Linked DNA regions of Lepisosteus oculatus. The protein of the gene in region 2 binds, or shares a complex with, the protein of the main gene of each other region. Links are inferred from orthologs where the notes say so. Each region holds a gene or a part of one and is shown on either strand. Other genes may lie near its edges.

Region 1 (7,996 bases), on a different chromosome or scaffold from region 2:
AGAAGTCTACAAGGAGACCTGACGCATGTATTCAACATCCTCAAAGGTGTTGACAACCCAGCTGACTTCTTCAAAATGAACAGTGAACTACATAGAAAAGCATTTCAAACCAAGAGCAGGAGGTGCTTCTGTACCCAAAGGGTGGCAGGAGGGTGGAACAAGCTCGTGTTATAAAGAAGTTTAAAAACTGTTGAAATGTTAGCATTTCTTGTGTTCTTATGAGACAAGGCAAAAACATAGTAGAATCGGCAGAGACTGATGAGAAGCTCATTAAAACAAACAAATAGGCATTCCTGCTGTGAAATCCCAATTTGTTTTTATGACCCATGCTTTTTAGCTAAGAATTTATTCTTCGCTGCTCCTAATATTAGATTAGCCTCACTTAGCGTACAAAAAGTAAAGTGAAATTTAGAAATCTCTGCGTCCAGAAAAGCCTTTTGTTGAGCTCACCTCGCCAACCTGCCTGAAACAGGTATGAGCTCTGCTAGCAATCACCACAGCAGTGAAATGGACAAGCTTCAAAGTGTTACAGCAGCTTCTATGAGCACACTCCTCCAGGTTCCTGTCCTGACACTTCTCTGTGCTCCCCACACGCTGTCATTTAACTCCGAACAAAGGCAACAAGTTCCTCTTACCAGGTCATGCTCGTGAACAGAGAACAACAAGCCGTGAAAGCTGAAGTTTGTTTGAATCAAACGATCCGTCTTCACCACAGTGCTGCATCGCCCACAAGCTCGCGGCAGAGTAAACTGGCCAGCCACACTCACCACGCTTCTGGTCACTTACCATGGGGCAGGGAGAGAGCTGCCGGGGCCGGAATGTGGCCGTCGCTTCATTCGTGACAGCCAGAAGGAACCAGAGATACAGTGCCATCGTGCTCGAAGTCTGGAGCATCAACACCGGAAAAAAAACACACAGAAAATCATGAATGAATAAGAAAAAAGAAAAAACAGAATGAAAGGACTAGACCATGGCTTGGGGGTTTTCAGACGTTGTGTGGGATGAAACTCAATGAGAAGCTGCCTAACAGCTCTGACAGGGAAGTGGAGGCTCTGACAGTGACACTTAATGGCAAAATAGTGAAAATAAAAATGTACTCGATGACTTTGACCTGTGATTGTGTCATTGTCCCACACAATTACAGTATTGTTATCAAATAATCAGGTAGATCGGCTTTTTATTGTTCTTCAGGTTTAATTGGATCCAAAAAATAAACTGCTTAAATACCTTTGTTAAAATCGACGTGCTAAACATGTCACAGTCACTAAGCTGAGTACATACACATGCAAACCCACTTCACATACAATCTTTATCAAAGTAGTTTTATCTATACATTTTTTATCTATAAATGTATCTTTTTTACTACCTCCAGATGTTACTGTTTAAACTTAAGGTGAACTTGGGGTCATAAGGACCTAGAAAATGACTGGTTTCTAAAGTGAAATTAATTGGTAGGAAAGCAGTCCTCACAGTATACCTAAGACAGGAAGCATGTTGTGTGTACGGATCTATTGTGATGTCCATTAACACTACACAGCACCACAGAACTTCCAATCTTGACAATACAGTCAAAACCATCTAAAAGCACCTGATTCTTTTAATCCATGTACAGTTTGTTACAAATCTGAGAATACAAAATAACAGGAAACACCTACAGATCAGCCATTCTTTTAAAAAGTCTGTTTAAAGGTTAGCTATAATTAAATATGTAACACACAGTCTGCATTTACTCACCAAAATTGACTAATTAAGAACTTATCAATGGCTTATCAACTGCTCCTGGACACAGTGCTCAGGCAGATATGAGTGTGACAACTTTCTGAATGAATACATTGAAATATTTATAGGCCATTTGTTGAGGAAAATAAGGAGCTACCTTTTCAAACTATTACTGTTAAACTGTTGAACTTAGAAGTGTGCTTAAACACATTTTAATTTAGGTCTTAAACAGAAAAGGCTTTTAGTTACACTTCTATAGAAATTCTATTACCAAAGTACATTACAAATTTTAAAGCAACAATCAAAGTGTATTTTTACGTGTATGCAGTAATATAGATGTGCCACAGTCGGGTGTCCTGGGTTCAATTCTTGGTTGCAGAGCCTGCACAGTCTCCTTATGTTCATGTGGGTTTTCTCCAGGTGCACCAATTTCTGCAGTATGTCTTGTTCCCTGTGTCTGCTAGGTTAGTCTCCGGTTGACAGGAGAATGAAGTAGTGGACACAGCATGGATGTCATAATACAGTTAAGACAATTTCTCACTCTGTCATATTATATACAGTATATACCTCATGCAGATAGACAGGTAGATTCCTGTTAGTTAAGTTGTCATGTTCTTTTCTAGATTATTTTCCTAACTGCTCCTCTCGCAGGGGTGGGAAGTTGCCCATTTTTATCAAACATTGCAATTGGAAATCCAATTGCTTTATGACATATGCAAGCTATCAAACAAGACTTGGTTGCAATGTTGTCCTTGGAGAGGTTACTTGGTTATTGCTTGCATGAGCCACTAAAATGAAAGCCACAAACACACTGGACTGCACTTAGCAACAAGTCCCACAGCAGCAACAAATACTGTCCAGAAAATCAAACCTGTCTCATGTGGTAAAACCACAAAGACACGTCTGAGTATTTTTACCACCTCTTGTAGGAGTTTTTTTCCTTCTGAATTTAAATGCTTAAAAGTTTGTTTCTTACTTTAGTTTAAAGACTTAAAGTTCCTGTGACATCCAACTATGATAAGACTTTAAATTCCACTGTTTACATTGTCTTGATTAGAAAACGTGTATATCTTCGAAAAAGTGGCAGGTATTGCCATAGGAACTCATAGCTTCTCACGCCGATATATATGCCTAGCTCTCTGCCTTTCCAATTCTTTCTGTCTTGGGAAACAGCCCACTTTCATCCTTCCCACACTAGTTCCACTTCTCAAAATTCCTTTCCAGCTCTCCTCTTTCTGTGGCCATTCTCCCTTCCTCGTGTCTCATTTCATTTGTATCATGTGCATCGAACAAAGCAAGCAAAATCGACAAAAAGTCAAGTTACCTTCTGGTAAGAATTATTTCCCCCTCCAGAGTGTGCTGCTCATGTTGCTGCTGTGATGCTCACACATCCTCCCTGACTGCTGTCCAGCTGGCTCTGCCCCTGCACCTTTCAGCTATAGACGGCAGCTAATACATCCTGTGGGAATATCCTGCAGGATTGCTTTTTTTTCCCCCCGTCAGTTCCTTATTTGGGATTGGGAAGTCCATGTTTTCTCTCTTATCTGACAACACATGGTGAAACAGGGTCCTAATGCTTCATGCTTCAAAATGTGTCTAACTTTATAAGACTCCTATCTCCTCACATCCGGGATGGCACTGCTCAACATGCAATACGGCACATAAACAGTTTAAAATTCCGTGCGTGTTTTCCATGCGAATACAAAATGCAAACTTTGAAACATGTTTATTCTTTTCTGTAAGTATTCCTCCCCCCTTACCACTGTTTTTTGGTTTATTTTAAGATTTTACAGGCCCTGCAATTATGTCTTTGTAGAATTTTAAAGGCGTTACTACTTACTACTCCAGTGAGTAACCCTCTGCTAGATGGAAGAAATTCTTTAAAAGAATACCCAGCCGCCAGGTAATCCATCAGTAACACCTGCCTAACCCCACCTTCAGGAAGTCCAGCTAGTAGCCTACATGGCTCAGCAAAAACCCTTTTCCCAGAATTTCTGGGACACAGGTAAAAGCAACCGGTATCAAAAAGCATTTTCCTGCAGCTGGTCCTGGGAGGACCACAAAAGCTGAAGCTCAAGGTTGTTACAAAACAGCAGAGATCCAGCCTGTCTTTCTGTTTGCCTACTCAAGACTTACAGACATGACAAGGCTTGAACAGAGGTTTTGTTAGCCTCTAAGCGCATTCACTTTTCATTGAGCAATCTACAACTCCAATCTTCACAAACTGGAAAACATTTTTTTTTCACAACAAGAGAGCTCTGTCAGCTTTGAGAATAATAGATGACTAAAGCTTACTGACATTTTTTAAGGGCACAAATTGAAAAGGTCATGAATTTCCCATTTTTTTGTTTGTGTCTATTTTTTACTGAACATGCGAATCAAATGGCTTACAGGTTCAATTGTGTAATTGGCTTGTGGCAGCAGGTGTTTTTAATGAATAGACTACTGTATTTTTTTATTTCCTTACCAAAGCCTTGAGGAAACAACAGTCTTTTTCCTTGTCAAATTATATAAAAAATGTTGTTTGAAGATACAGTGGGCAGCTAATTGATCTCAATAATAATAATAATAATAATAATAATAATAATAGGTAGTTGAGAGAAAGACAACATTTTTATCTCCACCACTTGAAGCTAGTACAGTGCCACCTGTCTCTAATAAATAAGTTAAAACACTTGCAACCAAAGATTTTAGCAAAGGTTCACTTCTGATATTATTGAGTGTTATAGGTTAACCTACATAATATAAGGCGTGAATTTAAAGATGCCACTGTGATTATTCTTAGGCAAGTGTCTATTATTATAATTTCTTATTACCAAGATTTTAAAAATACAATAATATTTTCTTTGTCAGATATACGAGTCTTTTAGGAACACCAGAAGGGGTCATCAGTTTGCTTAGCGGAAAGCAGCGCATTTCCATTGGATGTTCTCAACGAAACTGATCAGAAAATTTGCACATCAGTCATTGCACCTGGAAGACATTATTACGGAAGACGCGATAACCTACCTGCTCTCCTGTGAGGTGAAATAACAGTGTTGTTGTTGTTTGTTTTTTGCCGAGTCTCAGAGTTAATCCAGACTAGCACAAGGATGCTGGGATCTTGCTTCTGTCGCGAACATCCCAGAAAACATCACCGCGTCTCAAGTTCACGAGCCAAGTTTTTTTTTTTAAATTAAACTTCCAAGCTTAAACCCTGCTGGACCACCGCCTGATGTCCATGCTGCTTCGGTGCGTTTCCAGCATTGCTGCAGCTTGCCTCTTGTATTCCGACATTGACTTTCTCTTGCAGATTAATGTTTGGAGACTTGGGTGTTCTGAGTAGTATAGTGCCAGCGGGAAGAGGGGATTTCCCATTTTCTGTGGGAGAGCTCCCTCAGGGATTCCCTATAGCTGGGCGCAGATTTTAAATAAGGCTCATTCATTTGCATACATCTTGCACAAATTCGTTCGCGAGTTACGTTTCCTTTTTTTTTTTACAAGCATTATTTTAATAATGTGTGCCTTTCCGTTTGTCTCCTTTCTGACTCCTTTCGGATTTTATATTTTCGTCCGTCATCACTTTGAAGGGTGGCCGTGACGACAGGTACATTAAAGAGCGAGCCTAAGTCGAACAAAAACAAAACGTTTTTCTTGTCATATTGTGTCATGCCACCTTGTGATGTTGCTGCTTAATTGCAGTCCAGCCGGCGGGAATGACCATTGACCTTGAGTACGAGACTAAACAGGGAAGAAGTGCGGTATTTTAATCATTGTCTCCATCTAGTGGCGCAGAAGCGTTATAAAGGAATCTTCCGTGGTGATTGTCATTGACGTTACTGTGTGGCTACTACACAGAAAAGGAAACACGACGTTTCGGCTGTGGAGCCTTCTTCACACCCGAAGAAGGCTCCACAGCCGAAACGTGTTTTCTCTCTTCTCTTTTCAGCATGGAATAAACCTATTACTTGTTCATTTGCAGGATAAGCATGCTGACGCAGCTACCCACCTGAACTACTGTACATTAAAATCTGCATAAACATACAGGTGATCCTGGACAACCCTGCCAGCCGACTGAAAGTGTCTTATTGGTGACCGATCCTAAGCAAAATAATGCAAAAAAAAATGCAAACCTAACGCAACATAGAAGATGTCACTGAAACGTGCATAAAATGTGTCGCTAATGCATACAAGAGTTGTTTTAACCTCTTATCAACGTAATCTCTGCTGCAAAAACACAAAACAACCAAACAATATTTCCCACAGTTCTTAAAATGCTTAACGCCAAAACAGTGGGTTTTTTCGCGTTCTCACAGAAATTGCTGATGCGGAAACAAAGCTAAACTTTGACACAGGGCAGCGATTTCTTTTTTCACACTGTTAGCAGGATCTTTTATCAGTGTCATACAGTACATCCGTGATTTAAGTGACGGTTTTTGGGCTTTGACGTGCCAGTTATTTCTGGTCACGGTTTTAATGCATTATTCGCTGAAAAGTAAATAGCACTGGATGTATTAAAACTTGGTAGACATTAATTTTCTTTGCGTTTATCTGTGGTAAAACATTTTCTATGATGAATTGAAACTGTAAACGAGTTGATCAAGTAATCCAGTCTTCACCAGGAGGACTGGTTTAAAACTAAAACATAAAGATGTGTTTTATTACCAGTGTTGTTTTCAACCTATACAAATGAAAAGCAGATTAATGATGGTGTTTTGCTTAAATAGTATAGCCTTGACCAAACACTCTACTGTGATCGAGTGTTAGCTCTTATCGATTGGTGCCAATCAATCACTTTTGAAATAAAAGTCAGGAAAACAAAACAATTATGCTACACTCTGGCAGAATTTGAGCCAACCACACTGCAACCTATAAATACAAATGTTCAGCTTGTGGAGATGGTTCGTTGTTTTTAATATCTATGTGTGTTCATTGATAATAAACTAAGCTTTTCAGACGACACAGAGTATATTTTTGATAAAACCATGCAGGGATGACTTCACCGACTTGACTGTATGCATACTGTAAAACACACTGGACGGTTTATGTATTCTGTATTACACTGGTCTTATTGTTGTCTTGTTGAGGCCAAAGGAAAATTTAGTAAATATTAATATAGTATTAAAAATAAAAACATCGCATCTAGTTAACCTTAGAAACCTTTCCAGCTGATATATGTATATAGTACTATAATTTGAATTAACCAGATAGAAATGCCAATTTCTATCAATAGGTCTGTGGTTTAACTGTACTCTCTCGGTACCAGCAGATGTCAGTGTTGATCTAAACTGTTCCCAGGGAAAGCAAGACAAAACGACGGGCCAGGAAGCCCTCGTACACACAATTCGCTTCATTGCGTCTGTCAGATTCATGTTGAATTCAGGAACCAAACGGTAACTATGAGGAAGTGCGTTTCAAAGTGTCAACGGGAGACCTTCTCATGCACAAGGGCCTGCTGGACTGTGAAACTACCCAACCTTGCCGTTGAACCTAATATTCTGTCTTCCCCCAGAGAAACACCTGGATAAGCTCCCCAGCTAGCTATAAACAGGCTGCACCTCTCTTTTCGTTTGTAAACCTTCAAGCGTTTTTATGTTATATCTAATGACCGACGCTTGAGCTCTATACGACCGGGGGGCAGCTGCAGTCTAATTCGCGGTCGAAAGGAGGACGAGCACAATAGAGCAGGAGCTCTGGGATGATTTCCGCTTCTCGTCGAAATCGGGTGCCCTCTCCATGCGCTCGACCTGACGCGAGCTCCATCCGTCTTCCCCTCCTCGTTTCACGTCTTCGCCCACCTGACCTCTCTTCTGCTAAATAAAGCGCTGTTAGAAATAAAAAATAAATAAAGCCGACGTTATGGTATATTAACGGCGGTACAGAAAGCAAGTGTCCCATCTAAACTAATTTAAACTAATTTAAATTTTAATAAACTAATTTTAAATAACTAAAGTCCCATCTAAAACTAACTAAAAAGATTGTGATCTTTTATTTTCTGATACGTGTCTTGAATCAGATGATAACATTTAGCCTGTTGCTTGCTCGAAAGCTTTGGATTCTGGTCTATACACAGTACAAAGAGATAATTCATCCTCGTCCGGTGATACCCTGAAGGAGAACTGGACTCAACAAATATATTTAAAGGGGATCTTGACCGCCTGTTCCAGCCCCTGTAATTAATGCTGCCTAATAACATCACTGTTCTGTATGCACGGCGGAAACGTCGTTTCGAATCGACAGCTAAGTATAAAATAATATATTTTAAAACAACATGAAATATTCACATAATTAACAATAA
Region 2 (7,495 bases):
CGGCTCGGGCTCCAGGGGGGGCTCCTCCTCCTTGGGCTCGCGAGACATGCGCAGCTTGCTCAGGATCTGCCCCCGGATCGCCTCGATGCGCTTGCGCTTCGCCAGCTCTAGGTCCAGCGGCTTGCAGGTCGACAGGGCGAAGACCTGGCTCAGGCTGCCTAGCAACCACAGGCCCAGGAACAACAAGCGGTCCGATCTCATGGTGACCAGAACAAGCGCCCCAACGTACCGACAGTGTCCTCGCTGTCTTTTACTCAAGCACAACGCAGGTTTATGGAAATCCTGCTCTGGTATATGTAACCTGTGTATTAATTAAATGTTTGAGTGTCAGTCTAGCCGGCTACAAACTGCTTGATTGATGTCCTGTTGTGCTCTGGCGGTCCTGTTACACAGCCCTCGGTTGTCCAGCACGTTGAGATGGGGGAGGAATTAAACAGATGAAGTCTTGTTGAGTTATCTTCAGGCTCTGTGTAGTGGTTGGACTTCCCTCTAAAAGCGTCCAGTGCTACTGCCTCACATAAGAGAACTCCCGTGTCTCAAGGCAAGGGAGGAGACTACCCCTCTTTGACAAGCCTGACAGCACGTTGCCACAAGTCTCCCTGTCTCAGCACAGGTGACAATGCAGGATTTTAGGGCTACAGGTGTCCTCAGCATCAGCCTCTCTGCCTGTGACAACTGGAGACGGTCGTCTTACCTCTGTGGCCTCCTTTATGAAAAGCCGTCTCTCTCCACAGCTGGGCTGCAATGGAGAGGGGGCTCAGCTCTGGTCTCCCCGCCTGGAAACTAGGGGTCTCCCTTCTCTGCTTTCGTCTCTTCGTCCCCAATCTTTACTCTCTGTATTCTTGGCTTCAAGCTCTCTGTCCCTCACGCTTGTTGACTCTCTGTCCCTTCATCTTTTTCGTTTTTTACCCCGACCACTGCTAATTCTTTCTTCGTTCGTTTTAGAGTCTCTCTTTATCTACTTCCTTCCTTCTCGCTGTGACTCCCCTCCTCCTCTCCACGATCAAGTTGAAGCGGTAAAGAAGAAAACAGAAGTACTCTCAGATGACCCGGACTTCCTGAGACAGATCTGTTAGCTTGCCTTGCCGGTGACACTCCGGATCAGACCGCTTCAGACAGCAGTAGCAGATATTAAAGCTGACCAGCCTTCTCACCAAAAGGTACAAGGACAGAGCAAGAGAGCCAACACACGCAGCACACTATCACAGAAGAGCTGTTCTCTTCAAATAAACAAATAAATACAGAACACGTTCTGAGACAATAAATAATCCGCTACCAGCAACTGAATTAAAACAGTGGGGGGGGAATTGGGATTAATAAATTAAAAAAGACTATAAATACATTTATATATATATATAAAAGCTCAATAAGCTAAAAATTTGTAATGTATCTAAAGGAAACTGGTACTCCTCATTTCACCATCAGCAGTTTCAATTCTGCTTCAAAACAAAACACAGAGGCTTAAAAATAAAGTCTGTTTTTTTTTCCAAAATAACAGTTCTTCCCTGTAGTATGCGCAGAGAGAGTGTGAGAGGAGCCCAGAGGGGATGAGGTGTTACAGAGCGTAGGAGAAGGCAGCCCAGAGGAAGCCGAATAATGTGCCTGGAAAAAAGCAGCAGTAACAGCAAGGCACCCCTCTGACACAGCAGCCAGAGCCCAGAGCACCTCTCAATTACAACCCAACGTACCACCTCCCCCACCTTTCCTTGTCTGGACCCTATTAGAAATATTAAAGCAACTGGAAGAAGGCAAAAGAAACTACTCCCTTCCTTCCAACCAAGCCGAAGAGCCGTGCTCTTTCCAAAAATAAAACTCAACAAACAAACAGAGGAGCCGTTTCAAGGCAAAAAAGGTGAAACAAATATTTAAAGGGAATTTCTTGAAAATAAACCTTAAGACGCTAAAGCACAAACATTTGAAAAGAACAGAGTATGAAAATCAAGCAGCTCAAACCAGTCTGTGTGTCTCAGCAGGAGTTGTAGTGCTAGCTGTAGTAAGTGTTCATTCGGAGCTCCTCTATTAAAAGTTTTGATCCGAACGTAGTCTTTCTTTCTCACTCTGTGTCCCGATTTGTCTGTTTTTCGTCTCTTTAACTGATTTTCCCCCCCGTTTATCAGCTCTCTGGCTCTCTGTTAAGAGCTCGGAACCTTTCTCTTTCAGCCACTTTTCTTTTTCTGTTCACGCTCTCTCTCTCTCCTCAACTACTTCTGCTTGTCAGAGCTTGCTAGTGACAAAATGATTAGTGAGGGCTGTTCCATACCCTCCCTCCCTCTATTTAATTTTTTTCGTTCCTGTTGCAGCTCTAAAAGAGCCAGAAACTCTCCGCCCAGGAAATGAGGGTAAACGGATGCAACGCTAGAACATCTGTTTCTTCTCCGACTGTGAGAGTGTTGCTCTCTCTTCATACAGAAAGACTTGGAAGTCTGAGTAGCTACCAAGACAGCTGAATAACCCACTGACTCACTAACTGAGTGACACACTGACCGGCTGACTGACACACTGACAGACGGACAGGCAAAGTGAACTAACTAAAACAAAGTGATCAGATAACACATTTCTGCGCAGTAGCGATTGACCGTGACTTGAATAAGTCCAACAGCCAGGAAATACTATGGGGAAGTTTATTAGTGTGGTTCTTAGTCTACTGCACATAGATAATTCCTATTGCACTATCTTCCCCTGCACATGTCCTCTCAAAGACCTCAAACACATCTTTCCTTCCTTTTTCCACAGGGCTACCCCACACGGCACAGAACAACAGGAGACAAGATACACTGAAACAGGGGGATACAAGAACACAATGAGTTACAAACTCACACTGTGAAACACAAATCCACTCAGTCGCACATTATAGTACACACTCTCGCACTCAAACAAAAACACTGTCACTTGTGCACAAACAAGCCTCCCACACCGAGATACTGAAAGAGAACACATCTCTCTTGCCCTACGCAGAAGAACCATGCAGAAAGATTAAGACAATTATGAGGAATACAATCATTCAAAACAATAAAAACAGGTTAGTAAAGAGAAAAGATGACAATCATGATATATAGTAAGTGGAAAAAGATGAAAGGAAAGATGGCAAAGAAGAAGATAAAGGTAAGAAGCAGCAGCACAAGAGCCCTCAAACAAGAGGCACAAGACCTCATAGTTTCATTTACTGACCCACAATTAAACATCGGAGAAACTATGGAAAACCAAACTTTTAATATATGCGTTTTAAAAAAGTAAAATGGTTTCCAACTCTAAAACACAATACATATATAAAAATATACAAAAGTCACGCTGGGTTCAAATACAAAAATTCATTTTAACAAAGAATGGGATTAGTTTCATTGCGTGTGACTGTCAACGTGTTAATGGGAACTTGTATGAGAGATGCCATTCCAAGACTCAGCCTGCCCCCTTGTGGCAGAGCAGGGGTAGAGCCATACTTACAAAGAGCATGATACCTGTCCACACACAGCAACTGTTTCCCCTCTTTCCCTGCTGAGGTCCAGAACTGGACAGACCTGAGAGCCGTCCTGAGTTTTCCACTGCAGACAGCTCGCAGCCTGCTGGCCTCCTCAAGTCCTCACATCCCCTCCCATTCTCTCTCTCGTTCTCCCTCTCGCCCCACACACCAAACCCTCTCTCAAACCTTCCCCTGCGCTTCCCTTCTGCCTCTCCTCCTCTCTCAGCTCTCTACTCCGTAGCGGTCGAAGTGTCTCAAGACGATGCTCAGCTCCAGGTCCACGGTGCCCGAAGCCACCGTGTGCAGTCTGTAGCGGTCTGCCCCAGTGTAGATGAGGTCAGGGGAGCGCAGCTGTGGCCCCCCTCCCACGAAGGTCTGCACCAGCCTGTCCTGCCAGGGCCCCAGGGGCCGCCAGGTGCCGCAACGCAGTCGGTGGTGCCCAGGGCTGGAGGGCACGTGGCAGAACCCATAGCCAGCCATCTGGCAGCGGCCAAACGAGTCCTGGTCCCACACCTGCAGGTGCAGCTTGGGCCACCCTGGAGAGACAAAGCTCAAGTCAAACTGTTCTTTCCAGATGGAGTAAAAAAAAATAATCAAAAAGCAAACCCCAAAAAATCCAGGTCAGTGCAAGTCTTCCATTCACCCAGATGGATATTTCTTCCCCATAACTGAATTCTGCAAACCCCTCGTTTTTCATAGGAACTACAGTATAACCCTTGACAGTGGGAGTCAACGTTAGCTTGTCTTCATCCATCCAAGAAACAAAGAGCAAGGGTTAACTCTGCTGAAACTGCAGTTCAGAATGCTTGACGTCACTGCACAGCACATGTGAAAAGATGCGGTCCTCTTGCAGTAAAAGGGAGGCCCACAGCAAAGTGTGTGGACACACTGAAAACATCAGTACAGAAACATCAGCTCTGAGCTGGAGACAACATACTGTAAGGTGAAATTGATCTTAAAAAAAAGTGTGCTCAATACAAATGGCAATTTTATGCATTCATAAATCAAACTCTGGGCCATTTCAGTTCACTGTTAAATACAGCGCAGAAACCATTAACCAAAGGAAGAAGGTTTACATAGATGTGCATTAAAATGAGTTAACTCGACAGATGAACAGACAATGTGCTGTAAGGTATGATTACAGTTGTGGGGCAACATTTATGTTGTTTTTTTCCAAATCACAGAGACTGAGAGGACAGGAAGAAAGGGGAAACAGAGAGAGAAAGGAGAGGAACAGAATGAGAAACAGGAAGAAAAGGGGAAAGACAGGAGAGAGGACAGAAAGAGAAGAGAGGTAAGCAACTGAGACAGGGAAAAGGGAAAGAGAAGGAGGAGGAAGTACCTTGCAGTCCCTTGGTGGCAAAGTGTAGGTCTATGGGATGGCTCCAATAGGCCACTTCACCAATCTGGGGAGAGTCCACCTGTGTCTGCCCTTCCCTCAGCCCTGACAGCAGGCGCCATGCCCCTCCTGCAACACACACAACACTGTAACGCACGTGCACTGTGTCCTCACTGAGATAAGGGAGGACATCAAATCATTGAAGGTTTAGAACTGAGTGAAGGTAGGCCTGATCATGGCTGGTGAATACCTGTGTGGACACCCCACTTGCAGAAGAGGCTGTTCTGAGGGAAGCCACTGGCCCCCACAATCTGGCCTATAATGTGCAGCTCCGCCATCCTGCTGAGAGAGAAACACCCTTACACACTGGCAGACACAAGACACAACAGAACACCGTTACACACTGGCAGACAGAAGATACAACAGAACACCGTTACACACTGGCAGACACAAGACACAACAGGACACTATTTCACACTGACACTGGAAAGATAAATGAAATACAGGTACTGTCAAAACTTTAAGCCTGTATACAAGTAAAGCAAAAAAAGTGAATGATACTGTATACGAAATACACTTCACAGGTAAGGTAGATTGTTCTCATTATCAGCATCATCCTGTAGCAATAGCCATCTATTCTGCCATCTCGTCACAGGTTTACGGACACCCTCATCTTACAACAATGCTGGCTGGTCCCTGAACTGTTCCGGCACCGAGACCAGCTGTCAGTGCTAACGATCTGACCTGGGAAATCATACCTCACCTAAAGGCTGCTGCGCTGAGGAAGAAATCAGATCACAGAGGCAAAGAGCACCATACTGCAATGTGAGAGAGGACTACACTGCAGTGGGCACTGGCCAGGGTTATTTTAGAACAGGAGCACCCATAACCTTGTGAAACATTCCAATGGATTTCTATTACATGCATAGGGAACAATGGTGATAAATAAAGGTCATATAATTGTTAGGTGACAAACAAGATGAATGTGCTTCCCCTTCGTTTCCACTTGTTCGCTTGTTTTGCTCTGTTGATTCTGAAGACATCCAATGGGCTGATGTTCTCAATGGCCCGGAGGATTTTAAACACCCGAGTCAGTTCCTTCACCTTTGAAGAACGTTCATTGGATGATCAATTCACAGACTCACTTAATTAACTTGCTCTCATATTGAGCCCACTGAAGTGCTGGTCTGTATGTCTGGAAAAACATTACCATCACGCAGGGGGACCAGTGGATACCAGCAGATTAAACCATGGAACATGACCAAGGGGACACACACTGTACTGTATGTAAACTATGCTGAAACGCTTTAAGAGCATAGAACAAACGCTTCTTTAGCCAAAGAGTAGGGAACAAAACAAGCTACCCAGCCTTGTTGTTGAAACCATTTCACAGACGTCTTTACTAAAACGATTGGATAAGCTCCTTGGATCAATTAATAACCATCAAATGGGCTAGATGGCCTCCTCTTTTGTAATGTAATCTTTATAATATTATTGCTGATCTTCTTATGTCTAATCTGTCTTATGTTCTTATCACACTGCTCAGATTCAGTGCAGATGCATCCTCAAAGCTGCATTCTTCAATCTATTAATGATACAATTGCTTCTTTCAGGCTACTCTGTTGTTACAAACTGGAAAATAATGATTCAATTTAATTTTAATCACTCTGAAATTAAGTTGGGAGTGAAAAGGGGAAGGCACTTGTGGTAGGATGCTCTTAACTCACGTTTTAACGCATTTTATAGCATGCTGTTACGAACCCATTGTTAATAAATCACACACTATGCACTGTGATAGAAATACGAGCTGTTTCCTACTGGCAGGCGCGTCAAGTTACTTGCAGAAAAAAATCAGGTGTTTGATCCTTGTAAAATAATAACTCCAGAAACCTGGAAAAGGGTGTGAAATAACATTTTATTCTACTGTAACATCACACCGTTCCGTTATCTGGCACAACCTAGACCAGTCTGTCCAGTTACCAGATAGTAAACAATGCAGGTGCTGTTCCAAGCGGTAAAGACGCTCTCGAGATTGTATTTCATGTAATATAAAAAAACAGCTTTATAGAGTGGTGAGACACCTCACGACTTAATCCCGAAGACACCGAAATTTTACCTTCAATCCTCCCGGTGCTTTCCAGGTTTGTTTTACTTCATTAATCAAATTAACTTTCCTTGTTTACATTCAAGCGGCGGTCTCCAGGGCTAGAGAGGCGAGTCCCCGCCACTTCCTTAGCAACCCGACACCGGGCTCTGCCATTGGTCCTTGATGTCACGTGGTCCCGGGCTCGGGTTTTTTTTTAAGGTAGTCGGGACGCTGTCGAACCGCCGTCCGGGAAGTACTGTAATTACAGGTAAAATAAAGTGAGCTGATCTGACCAAACAATCGATCAATGAGAGCTGGCCCAAAACCAAATGGTACCACGAGGATCAAGTTCCCATCGATGAGTTACTGCAGGTAACACCCGTGGGCTCTTTATCGATTAATGACCCACCCCAGTGCGTGTTCTCCACGCAGGCGTGCGTGGAGACTGACGGACCTGCTCGAAATATCGCCCTGGACCTATGCCTTGGTTTCCCCTGAGTGTGTACGAAGTGTCATTGCTCCATTCATCTTATAACTAGCACACATAAAGAGTATTGCAGTGGAACAGTACAGTTCTGACACACTGCGCGGAACGGTACTGATGTGTACTACA

Evidence for each region.
Region 1: the proteins of tgfb1b (region 2) and lrrc32 are in contact, whole or in part, in a cryo-EM structure (PDB 8VSC), measured with the Homo sapiens proteins. The link is inferred for Lepisosteus oculatus from reciprocal best matches to the Homo sapiens genes TGFB1 and LRRC32. Residues at the interface, in NP_000651.3 of Homo sapiens: Leu30, Ser31, Thr32, Cys33, Lys34, Pro325, Pro327, Tyr328, Ile329, Trp330, Ser331, Leu332, Thr334, Gln335, Tyr336, Val339, Leu342, His346, Ala353, Pro354; in NP_001122394.1 of Homo sapiens: Ser135, Tyr137, Glu158, Ser160, Thr162, Val184, Met186, Asp187, Ile188, Glu189, Asp190, Phe193, Leu202, Leu204, Arg206, Asn207, Ser208, Leu209, Thr210, Cys211, Ile212, Ser213, Asp214, Phe215, Ser216, Leu217, Leu223, Leu225, Cys227, Ser229.

The regions. Positions count from the first base shown.
Region 1 is NC_090700.1:6,485,944-6,493,939, forward strand, and holds the start of lrrc32 (transforming growth factor beta activator LRRC32), read right to left. Parts: upstream 3,034-7,996; 5' UTR 2,125-3,033; coding exon 2,038-2,124; intron 886-2,037; coding exon 787-885; intron 1-786.
Region 2 is NC_090698.1:6,675,600-6,683,094, reverse strand, and holds the start of tgfb1b (transforming growth factor beta-1 proprotein), read right to left. Parts: upstream 3,098-7,495; 5' UTR 202-3,097; coding exon 1-201. Other genes in the region: b9d2 (B9 domain-containing protein 2), read right to left, coding at 3,680-3,993, 4,800-4,925, 5,047-5,134. UniProt on the Homo sapiens protein: Transforming growth factor beta-1 proprotein: Precursor of the Latency-associated peptide (LAP) and Transforming growth factor beta-1 (TGF-beta-1) chains, which constitute the regulatory and active subunit of TGF-beta-1, respectively.